3 linked regions of the Oreochromis niloticus genome follow. The protein of the gene in region 1 purifies or fractionates together with the protein of each later gene. This does not show direct contact. Links are inferred from orthologs where the notes say so. Each region holds a gene or a part of one and is shown in the gene's direction. Other genes may lie near its edges.

Region 1 (3,750 bases):
ACTTTAGTGTGCAAGTATTCTCGTAGAGTTTGAGGTGTTTCTGGGGTCGTTATTTTGCTGCATGTTGTGCAAACCAGAGGGTGGGGCATGTCTCTGAAGAATGGAGTTCTGCTTCTCCTTGGTCAGGGTGGAGCTGACTCAGTGCAGAGTACACCACCTGTTTCACTGTGAGTGAAGCAGATCAAAGCTACATGAATGCATCTGAATCTGTGCTTCATGGAGAGGATACAGGTGAAAGTGCTAACATGATCAAAGCCATAAACTTGCTTACCCAGCACAAAAAGTGCAGATGCTTTGTAGTTGTTAGCTTTATATGACATAACTTAATGTATTAAACTCATGTAAAATTATTCAAATTATTTTTAGGCTTTCTTCTTTTAGCTGCTCTCTTTAGGGGTCACCACAGTGAATCATCAGCCTCCATCTCACCCTGTCCCTAGCATCTTCCTCTGTCACGCCAAACCTCTGCATGTCCTCCTTCTCTACATCTGTAGTCAGAAGTTTGCATATGCTCATCATGGGCATTGATGTCATGGTGAATTTGGGGTTTTTAATGATTTCTGAGTTGTTCATTTTCCAGGGTCAAATGTATACATACAGACTCAGATATACTATACAGCCCTACTAATATTTGGTCAAATGTCAAGTTGCATCTCACCCAGATGCTTTTGGTAGCCATCAATGATTCTCCGTTGGTCAGCATTGTCTACTTATAGTCGATCATAATCAACAATGGGAAATTAATAGGCCCTTTCCTTGTTGAGTTAAAAGACACTGCAGAACCTTCAGTACCAGTTATAAAAAGATTTAAGTGAGTGCATGTGGAGCCATTAAAGATTTATGCTGTACAATCATTCAACACAGGGGAAAAAATCAGTTAAAGAAATCATTAAAAACCCCAAATCATCATGACAGTCATGGCCACAATGAGTGTACACAAACTTCTGTGCATTACTGTGAACACAAAAATGTGGGATGCGCTGGACCTCATCATACTGAGAGCTGTTTCTTCTCACCCACTGGCCTACATGAGTACCTCTGACTGTAGTGAAAACCAGTACAACCACCGCTGTAACATAACCGGGTGAACATACATCCTGCATGTAGACTAGGAAAAGAGGGTGAATAGTATTTCCCGGTTAGCTTCTGCTGTTGTATTAATTCAAATGCTACATCTTTACATCCGTAGCCTGTCACGGATTTGCTGTCATTTTGTATTTGGGAGGCGGTTTCACACTTGCGTGTTGTTTGGATTGTTACAATAAAGATTAGGGCAGGGGCAAAAAAAAAGTCCCTTACTGCTGGGCCAAACCAAATCGATTGAGGGTTTGAAGGAGCACATGAGCGCACAGGAAACGCAGATCTTATTTGACATATCAAAATTAAAAAATAAAAGTTCATTTATTTATTTATTTCCTATTTAATCCGTTTGTTTATTGAGTCTACAAGATGCTAAACTGAAGCCGGATAAGTAAACGCTGGACAAGAACCCCCCTTTTTCGGTGAAGGGATCGACCGGAAAGAAAAGAAAGACAATCCCAGCCTCTCATTGGCCCAAAGTTCCCCGCGAAAATAACGTCACCCGCAGTTTCGCGCCACATCTTCTCCGCTCGGACGTATACACAAGAAGGGGTAAGAAGAGACATGTATAATGATAGTTTTTAGGTTATTACGTCGGTAGTTTTGGTGGTTTCGTGAAAGCGTGATACGCGAATCAGGTTGACTTAAACGTGCACGAAGGTGTTTTGTTGTTTTACGCTGACGTTTAATGTTAATCGAAGTTAAAACATCGCAGTCGAGGATCAGCTTATTGTGTGCTCTGCAGCCACATGTCAAATGGAGGTCGAGGGTTTAATGCAGTTAGTGCTTTAGTGAAAATAAGACACTTCAAAACTTCTAAAAAAGACACGCAGTGTAGCATATCAGCGTGCCGGAAGTGTCATTTATATAGTTAAGTGAACTTTTCTTGCTGTTTGACTGATATCTGGAAGCGATTCAAGCACACACTCATAACATGGATCCAAGTATCCAAGTAGCGAAAAGCAGGCTGCCCACAGTTTATATCCATCTCATGTCATTTTCTCCACAAAGCTGAAAAAAGATCTAATAAAACAAAAAGGAAATAATTAAAGTTTTTCAGCCAGCCACATCTGTGAATGTCAGTTTTCCAAATGCTCAGTCAAACTTGAAGCCATCACCATCAGTGATGTCCCACAGCCAGAGCGACAGTATGTAACAAGTGTTATTACATTTCCTTCACTGAGTGTCACCTTTTGTTGATTTCCCAGCAGCAATGTCTTCTCCAGCTTCAACCCCTGGTGGCCGTAAGCGTGGAAGGAACACCAATCCACCCACACGTAAGTTCCCCACTTGCTCCAACCTTTTGCATATGGACCTCCTGTGATTGTATGATGACCGTTGCCTACTTTTCTTCGTGTCTGTGCGACTTTAGCCAGCAGCGAGGACCCCACCTCGCCTCCCTCTCAGCGCCGCAGAGGTCAGGACTCCTCCACCGGGGACCTGATGCCGATGCCCACCTCCCCAGCCACGGACGTGCTCAGTCCTGCAGCACCCCAGGACACGTCTCTGCTCTCCAGCCCCCGACCTTCGGGTATGACGTGTTTGAGTTGTTGTGGTCTTGTGGACTCAAATTTTGGATTCTTGGATTGTTTTATAAATCTGCCTCCTTTTAACAGTGCCCCCTAACGAGGTGGACATGAGCTCCCCCTTGATGTACGGGACCCCCAGCTCCAGGATTGAGGGAACCCCACGGAGCGGAGTGCGGGGCACACCAGCCAGGCAGCGTCCTGATCTGGGATCGGTCAGGAAGGCTCCCCAAGTCGATCTTCACTCTGAGCCGGTCAGTAATCTTGTGTTTGTCATGTATTGAGCTCACATGAAGCCCGAACCCTCAGAAGTTAACTATTCACTGTCTTCTCTCAGCCGAGCACAGATGGTGCCGTGGCCAGCGAGTCGAACGCCGGGCAGAGGCTGGTGATCTGGGGGACTGATGTGAATGTCGGCACCTGCAAGGAAAAGTTTCAGGTATTGAGCCGAGGCAGCTAAATCCCATAATAAATCTCATGTAGGCAGTCCATGAGTTAACATTGGCATGCTTTGCGTTCCGCTGCTTCCAGAGGTTTCTCCAGAGGTTTGTTGACCCGACCTCCACTGAAGATGAGAACGCTGGTCTGGACCTGAACGAGCCGTTATACATGCAGAAGCTGGAGGAGGTGCAATTTTTATTGTTTGTGTTGCTCCAAACGTGTTTAAGTCAGACTCGCACTGCATGATGGTGTTTCTGAATGATGAACAATAGCCAGGAAATTAGAGAATACAGGAGGAGGCGGTTGCGCGGGATTGTATTCAAAGACGTAATATCACACAACGTGCTTCTCTTCTCGTCCCACAGATCAGCGTCGTCGGCGATCCTGTGATGAACGTGAACTGCCGCCACGTGCAGTCCTTTGATGCAGATCTTTACAGACAGCTCATCTGCTACCCACAGGTAAAGCTCGCTTCATCTGCCATCATCTGTTTATTTTTTTTCTTTACCATTGTTTTCATTCCCTCATTCGGTGTATGTGTGAGTACGGATTAAACGGAGGATGAAAACTTGAGCCCTTGATGAGTGAAATGGCAGCCTTCTGATTTTTATAATGAAGTAATGCGATACAGCAATGTCTTGAATAAATTAATGAATAAATAAAAATAAAATAAGTGGATGCAAATGCAAAGGGAGAAGTGATG
Region 2 (3,750 bases), on another chromosome or scaffold:
AAATCTCAAATAAAATGAAATAACATAACAAAAAAAAAAAATCAAGGCTGTATTTTAATTAAACTGGGGCGCAAATATTAAAGGAAATATTTTGCGTCTATATTACGCCTGTTTTTTTTTCTTTCTGTTTCTTTGCGGGAGAATGAAGGCAAGTGTTTGCTTGCTTGCACCGCGCTTCTTTTCTTCTCCCTCCATTCCTCAGCTCTTAGTTTTTTATTGACAGTGAGATTATTCTGGATCTTCTTCTCTCACCTCCAGCTGTCACTCAGCTTGCCAGCCAGAACATCAGCCCGTGGCATGCAGCGCCGTGTCGCGCCCCGAAGCACCGCTGCTGATACTCTTATTTGTCCCGGATCCAAGTAAAATTCTTTCGTAATCGCTGAGATATTCCAAAATCCGTCAGGCCCACCGGTTCATGTGGTTGAATAAAGTAGTCTAGTTATACGGACTGACAGTGTATCCTCAAGGCTGGATTAAGGTGGAGGAGACGGAGGAGGGGGTCCTCAAGGACTTTGCCAAAAGCTTCGTCGGTTTGTTTCAGCCTCATGTGCTGATATAGGGAGATTGTGTGTGTGTGTGTGTGTGTGTGTGTGAATCGCTGTGAAAGCGCACTTTTGAACTCACCTCAAACGATAAGGGCCTTAAATGCGTCCTGCTTTAATTTAGGCCTGCTGAGTCCCTGTTTTGAAGGGGAAGAGGGTTCATTTATTTGGCCGATTTCTGTTTTGTTGTCTTATGTTGCATTTTCTTAAATTGTTTTAAAACGAAATAAAGGCCAAACTGTGCATTTTGCCTTAAGGTTTTCAATAAGGTTTGTTGGACCATGCGTACTAGCCTATTTGATCCGGGGCCTTCCTACCTCTGTCCATATGTCGTATTATAAGAGTCTAAATAACTATTTAGAATGATGCAATATTCCTATTTGACTCTTTTGTTGTAATTTATTAAAAATAAACCCCTCAGTATTGTTATAGTTTATGTTTAATACTATGTTATAAAACTTTTTGGCACTAAGTAAAGGCTGCCACACTAGCTTCATTAGATGTGCTCTGTGCCACCCAGTGGTGATGAGCAGTTACTGCAGCGCATTCTGTCCTGCGCACCTCCGTTACACAATGTTTTTATTTTATTTTTTAATTAACTTATTTTGTCCAAGTTTGACACAGACCTCAGCTTTCAAACCACTTCAGAATCCTTGTAATTTACTACCCACCAAACAGCTCAGTGATTCAAAGGAAGAGGGGGTAACGTCTGAAAACCGGAAGCAAATACGAGCCACCGTTTGAGTGTTTCCTGTGACTAGCTCCCGATGCTACACGCGGGAAAACAGGCGAAGCTGCTGAGCACTGTCACAGTAAGAACTGAAGTTTTTTTAAACTCTGCATTCTCACTTCTATAGAAATTCATTTTTTGATAAGTGTAAGCAACGAGGGGAGTGCGTGGCGCACAATTAATTACTTTGAGCTACGTCGTTTGTTACAATAACTCCAAATATTTACATGATTTCTTTTTACCGGCCTAGTGTGGATGGAGCGCTGGATTTTAACTTAGGACCAGCCCAAGCGGGCGGCGTTCTAAGCGTGTTCCGTATGCAATGTGAGGATTCAGTTGAAAACGGTCCCACATCGTTGTATAAAAGAAGCGGTCCCTGTGCAGTTGAAGTTAGCCTAGCTATTGTTAGTGGCGCAGCATGGATGATATTTAGGGGTTGCTTCGAGAAACACAAAGACCCAATTGTCACTGAAACATTCACGCCATAAGATAACGATATTCGTAAAATTTCGCCGGGCAGAGCTTTCTTTTAATTGTTCATAGTTAGCTGTTAGCTGGCTCAGAACTTCACTCAGTGCTTTAAACACTAATAAACGGAAATATTAAATAACACGAAAAGACCCCAATTCAACACAAAGCTACTTTTACAGTTTGCACACTCACAGGATGGCTGCTTTCTGCCTCTCGGGTGTTTTGGCTCAGTCGCTGCTTGCTTGTTCATGTTTTCATCAACACCACACTACTTTCCCACCGTGAGGAGCAACAACAAAATGCAGACCCCAGCATGCCACAATCTGGGAATGGTTTTAAAACCATGCGTGCCATAAGCCTCGTTGTAGATGTTTGGTTGTATTTAATGCCGTTTCCTCCGTCTCTGTCTGTCTGTCTGTCTGTAGAGCATCAGTTATCGCCTGTAGCCAAAATGGGAGACACACTGGAGTTCAACGAGATCTACCAGGAGGTTAAAGGCTCCTGGGTAAGTATCTTCACCAGCCAGCTCTACTCTCAAATTCTCTTTCAGGGCTTCATTGCACTGTGTTTTGAAGTGGCATGGCAGACAAACATCAGCTCCTGTGCTCTTATTTGCAAATAAGCTGATGGGTCAGAGCAAAATTATTTGCAGTTCTGATTTCTTTTTTGTTTGTTTGTTTGTTTTTGCCTATTTGTGTCACTCATATTTTTCAAATCTTCAAACAGGTGTTAATATTAGAGAAAGATAACCTGAGTAAGTTAAAAAAAAATGCAGTTTTTAAAATGAGGATTTCATTTATTAAGGGAAAAAAAGCTACCCAAACCTGCCTGGCCCTGGTCCAGTTGCCTCCTAAACCCAATAACTGGTTGTGCCACGCTTGGGAGCAATAACTGGCAGTTGTACATCGCTTTGGAGGAATTTTGCAGTATTGTTTTATCTGCCACATTGGAAGGTTTTCAGTCACAAATGCGCTGTTTTAGATCGTGTCAAAGCAATTGGCAATCTCAATTGGATGTAAGTCCAGATTTGATTAGGCCTTTGATCATTTCAAGGTAGATTTGCTGGTGTCTTTCTAATCACATTGCCTGAGCTGAAGGGCACCAACTACTGGATGAGCATTCTCCTTAAGGACTTTCTGGTAAAGAGTGAAATTCATGGATCCATCAATTACAGCAAGTTGTGCTGATGCAGCAAAGCAGCCCCAGTCAGACCTTCCAAAAAGGGTAGCTTTTGTTTGGTCAATCCACCGAGTATTTTCCTAAAAGTCTTGGGAGATCATCAAAATGTTTTTGGCGAACGTGAGATGAGCCTTCGTTTTCTTTTTGGCTAGCAGTGGTTTTCACCCTGTAATGCTCCCAAGGATGCCATTTTTGCCTCTTGTCTCTTGTTTTTTTTTATTGTTCAGTCATGAATTCTGACCTTAACTGAGCCAAGTGAGGCCTGCAGTTCTTTAGATGATGCTCTGGGTGTTCTTTTGTGACCTACTAGATGGGTCGTTGATGCACTTTTGGAGTAATTTTTATAGTCCGACCACACCTGGCAAGGTTCAACACTGTTCCAAATTTTCTCCGTTTGTAGATAATGGCTCTCACTGTGGTTCACTGGAGTTCCAAAGCCTTAAAAATGACTTCATAAGCCTTTCCAGACTTATAGATGTCAGTTTTGGATCTTTTAGCCAACTACGATTTGTCAGACAGGTTTTATTTAAGTGATTTCTTAAGTAAACAGGTCTGGCAGTAATCAGGCCTCAGTGTGGCATTGAACTCAGCTCTCCAAAAATGTCGTTAATCACAGTTGATTCATGATTTAAGATGTGCCATATATGTTTGGATATTTTAGTTTTTTGTTTGTTTGTTTTTCTTAATAATTGAAATCATCATTTTAAAAATTGCATTTTGTATTTCCTTGGGTTATGTTTTTTATCTTATGTTACAATTTGGTAATCTGAAACATGTGTGACAAAATACTAAGAAGTCAGGAACAGGGAAAATTCTTTTCTATAGCAC
Region 3 (3,750 bases), on another chromosome or scaffold:
AGTACATCACAGGAGCAGCCTTCACATCACTACACGGCATTTGCACGACCAGGTTCGTCACAAGGGCTCACAACATTTTTAGAGACAATACACACCCACCACCTCTCCACACTTTTGCCCTCAGGTAGATTCTACAGGCGACTGAAATCAAGCACTAATACTCTCTCAAATAGCTTCTAGCTGTTGGCCATCGGACTCCTGAATGAGACAATCAGCACTGCCCCTCTCCCACACCATCACTACTGTTGGCTGTTACTGTACTATCAGTATCTGCTACTGCACTAATTTGTACAGGTCTGTTTGCAAACATCCACAAGGCATGGGCACAACAGGGAAACTGGCAAAATAAGAATTTCATTGTACAGTGTAAACCGCGATTTTCTTTCACTGTGCATATAATAAAAATAACAATATTAAAACATCTAACATTTTTATGTTTCTTAATTTTCTGTGTTAGGCACATTGAGTTTTCATGTAAATGTGCTATACAATAAAATTGTCATTGTTATGTATTACCTGTCAACCACCAACTCCAGTAAAACAATGTGGGAGTGCTGATTGAACGCATCTTCCCCATCCACAAAGTCATACTGCTCTAGCAGAGCTACCATGTCTAGATTACAGGAGTGCTTGTCCGGGAACTTCCAGGAAGAAAAGCGGAGCGGTCCGGTTCGAGAAAACACGTCCAGAATCGCTCCCTGAAGGTCAACCAGGTCTTTTCGGAGGCTTTCGATACAGTCCTGACTACCCAGCAACTGACTCATGTCTGACAAACTATTTTATAAATGACACAGCTCTGAAAAACACTGTGCAGTCTGTTGATACCGCATCTCCTTGGCAACATCCAAAAAAAGTACTCCAAGTTCCACAATGCTGTGCGGGTTATTTCCGGAAGTAATTCATCTCCATTGGGTCAACGAAAGCGCGACGTAGTAAGTGTGTTTAACCACGGTAAATTTTAAGCTTTTAGCTCCTGTAGCCTTTATTGTTGACATAGCATTTGCTAAAAAGGATTGTTTAAAATACATATTTTTTTTCTTGTTGGTTTTGTGTTTGCAGGTAACTTCCAGTTTTACAATAAGTCGCAGCCATGCCGCCTGGGCCTGTTCAAATCGTTCAGCCGGAGGCTAACAACAAGGTAAGGGTACCGCTGCTAGTTAGCTAATGCCAGCAGTGCAGCCTACATACTGCTTGCTTTTTTTCGGCTAACTTGTGAACTGGGTTAATTTTTGTCTTTCTACACTTTGAACTGTCTCTGTGATTTTTGAATTTAGCGAACAGGTAGCGTCTATCTTTTTTTTCTTTCGCTAAACGTTTGAGGTCGCAGCATTAAACCTTGCTAGCCCGTAGTTACCTTTGATGGTAAATCTACACACAGCGTCTAAAATCTCAGTTTGAACCTGAAGGTAATAGCTGAGACTTTGCTGTCACTTCAGTACAACGGCAAGTTACTTGCTAAATTGAAAACAGATCTTTGAATCAATGTGTTTTGTACAGAACCACACTTTTTCACGCAGAAAATTCACCGACCTACTTTCATCAGAGCACTTGGTAGTTTTTACCGTATATTTCATTAGTCTCCTGTGTGGACTAGTACAGCGAAATATAAAGTTTTTCAAAATGTTGTCTATGCTTTGAGTGTTATAAATTGTAGTAGAGCAGGGGAAATATTACTTGGTGTAGTTGGAAAAGATTTAAAATCGGGTGGATGTTAAGTGGTCCACTCTCTTTTTTGAACCTTATTCTTTTATTTATCCATCTAACCCTTCTTTGGTTTATTCTAACTAACAAATGTGCTTTTGTGAAACAGAATGATTCAACAGCAGAAGAAACCCCAGCCACAAAACCTATTGTTGGTATCATTTATCCACCTCCCGAGGTCCGAAACATTGTTGACAAGACAGCCAGCTTTGTTGCAAGGTTGGTTATTTTATATGTGGCAGCATTTTAAATATGTAAAGGTAACCGGATTTCATGTATATGGCATAACTAATTCTTGCCAATTCACAGGAACGGGCCTGAATTTGAAGCAAGAATTCGTCAGAACGAGATCAACAATCCAAAGTTTAACTTTCTCAACCCGAATGACCCCTACCATGCCTACTATCGCCACAAAGTCAATGAATTTAAGGAGGGGAAAGCTCAAGAGCCATCTGCAGCAGTGCCCAAAGTTATGCAGCAGGCTATGCAACAGTCCCAGCAGCTTCCTCAGAAAGTAAGTCATTGAACTTCACTTTGCACTTTATTTTATTTTTTTAATTACAAAATAAAACTGGTAGTCTTTGACCCTGACTAATATTTTACATTTTTCTTTAGGTTCAGTCACAGGTAATTCAGGAGACAGTGGTCCCCAAAGAACCTCCCCCCGAGTTTGAGTTCATTGCAGATCCTCCATCAATCTCAGCATTTGACCTGGATGTTGTGAAGCTCACTGCCCAGTTTGTTGCTCGCAATGGCCGCCAGTTTCTCACTCAGCTCATGCAGAAGGAACAGAGGAACTACCAGTTTGACTTTTTGCGACCACAGCACAGCCTTTTCAATTACTTCACCAAGCTGGTGGAGCAGTATACTAAGGTGACTTAACAGATTGGGCTTCTCTGGGTGTGTATTTATTCAAGTGGTGATTCTAAACTTTCTAAGCATTATCTTGATTCTTACCTTTAATCCTTTAGATTCTGATCCCTCCCAAAGGCTTACTGACCAAACTCAAGAAGGAAGCCGAGAACCCAAAAGAGGTTATGGACCAGGTATTCCGTTTTAACAGTGACTGCTTCTCAAAATAGCCGTTTACATTTGCTCTTTCCCATGTTTGTAATATGTCCTGTTGTCCAACCATCAGGTAAGGTACCGTGTTGAATGGGCAAAGTACCAGGAGCGCGAGAGGAAGAAGGAGGAGGAGGAAAGGGAGAAGGAACGAGTAGCATATGCCCAAATCGACTGGCATGACTTTGTAGTGGTCGAAACGGTGGACTTCCAACCTAATGAACAAGGTAATTATAACCACAGTAACTATATCTTTGAATAGTAACCCCCACCTTTAAATATTGGTACAATCATTTAATCTTTATTGGCATCTCAACTTCCTTAGGCCACTTCCCACCACCTACCACACCAGAGGAGCTCGGCGCTCGCATCCTGATCCAGGAGCGCTATGAGAAGTTTGGAGAGAGTGAGGAGGTTGAGATGGAAGTGGAGAGCGAGGGTGAAGATGATGAGCGGGAGGATAGGGGTGAAGGCCAGCCTTCACAGCCTGATCAAGACACACAAGTGCAGGACATGGATGAGGTTAGAATGGATGGAGTAATTAATTACTGCGGATTGTAAGCTGTTCGTGTCTGACCAGTTATAGATTTGATACTATATGTTTTTCTTTTAATTAAATGACATCTTTTCTAACCCACTGCTTGGAGAAAGAAAAAGAAGAAGAAAACTTTAAGATCTTGTAACAAAATCGATTCATCCCCTGCTGCTTTCTTTAGGGATCTGATGATGATGATGATGGCATGAAGGCTCCACTGCCACCAGACACCCCCATGCCACCTCCACTGCCTCCAACTCCAGATCAGGTTATCATTCGCAAAGACTACGACCCCAAAGGTAACACTGTTCGTTATGTGAGCAAGTTTTTACTTTGTACAACGTGTTTGTTTTTGTTTTTTAACTAATGTTACCTTTTCATAACAGCATCCAAGCCTCAGCCCTCAGTTGCAGTTCCAGACGAGTACCTCATCTCTCCCATTACCGGTGAGA

Evidence for each region.
Region 2: the proteins of mcm4 (region 1) and ssrp1a purify together in Homo sapiens (affinity purification with mass spectrometry; 4 studies listed by BioGRID and IntAct, counting the BioPlex papers as one, with this or other methods). This does not show direct contact. The link is inferred for Oreochromis niloticus from reciprocal best matches to the Homo sapiens genes MCM4 and SSRP1.
Region 3: the proteins of mcm4 (region 1) and sf3a1 fractionate together in Homo sapiens (co-fractionation; 3 studies listed by BioGRID, with this or other methods). This does not show direct contact. The link is inferred for Oreochromis niloticus from reciprocal best matches to the Homo sapiens genes MCM4 and SF3A1.

The regions. Positions count from the first base shown.
Region 1 is NC_031982.2:18,517,246-18,520,995, forward strand, and holds the start of mcm4 (DNA replication licensing factor MCM4), read left to right. Parts: upstream 1-1,525; 5' UTR 1,526-1,632; intron 1,633-2,288; 5' UTR 2,289-2,293; coding exon 2,294-2,357; intron 2,358-2,452; coding exon 2,453-2,611; intron 2,612-2,696; coding exon 2,697-2,860; intron 2,861-2,943; coding exon 2,944-3,045; intron 3,046-3,137; coding exon 3,138-3,233; intron 3,234-3,412; coding exon 3,413-3,508; intron 3,509-3,750. UniProt on the Homo sapiens protein: Acts as a component of the MCM2-7 complex (MCM complex) which is the replicative helicase essential for 'once per cell cycle' DNA replication initiation and elongation in eukaryotic cells.
Region 2 is NC_031966.2:22,487,831-22,491,580, reverse strand, and holds the start of ssrp1a (FACT complex subunit SSRP1a), read left to right. Parts: upstream 1-1,201; 5' UTR 1,202-1,354; intron 1,355-1,935; coding exon of another isoform or gene 1,936-1,993; exon of another isoform or gene 1,994-2,162; intron 2,163-2,168; 5' UTR 2,169-2,194; coding exon 2,195-2,248; intron 2,249-3,750. Other genes in the region: uncharacterized protein clcf1, read right to left, coding at 1,936-1,993. UniProt on the Homo sapiens protein: Component of the FACT complex, a general chromatin factor that acts to reorganize nucleosomes. The FACT complex is involved in multiple processes that require DNA as a template such as mRNA elongation, DNA replication and DNA repair.
Region 3 is NC_031977.2:11,771,700-11,775,449, forward strand, and holds the start of sf3a1 (splicing factor 3A subunit 1), read left to right. Parts: upstream 1-809; 5' UTR 810-932; exon of another isoform or gene 933-951; intron 952-1,059; 5' UTR 1,060-1,090; coding exon 1,091-1,138; intron 1,139-1,810; coding exon 1,811-1,920; intron 1,921-2,010; coding exon 2,011-2,215; intron 2,216-2,316; coding exon 2,317-2,574; intron 2,575-2,672; coding exon 2,673-2,747; intron 2,748-2,839; coding exon 2,840-2,990; intron 2,991-3,088; coding exon 3,089-3,285; intron 3,286-3,479; coding exon 3,480-3,597; intron 3,598-3,684; coding exon 3,685-3,750. Other genes in the region: ccdc157 (coiled-coil domain-containing protein 157), read right to left, coding at 517-764. UniProt on the Homo sapiens protein: Component of the 17S U2 SnRNP complex of the spliceosome, a large ribonucleoprotein complex that removes introns from transcribed pre-mRNAs.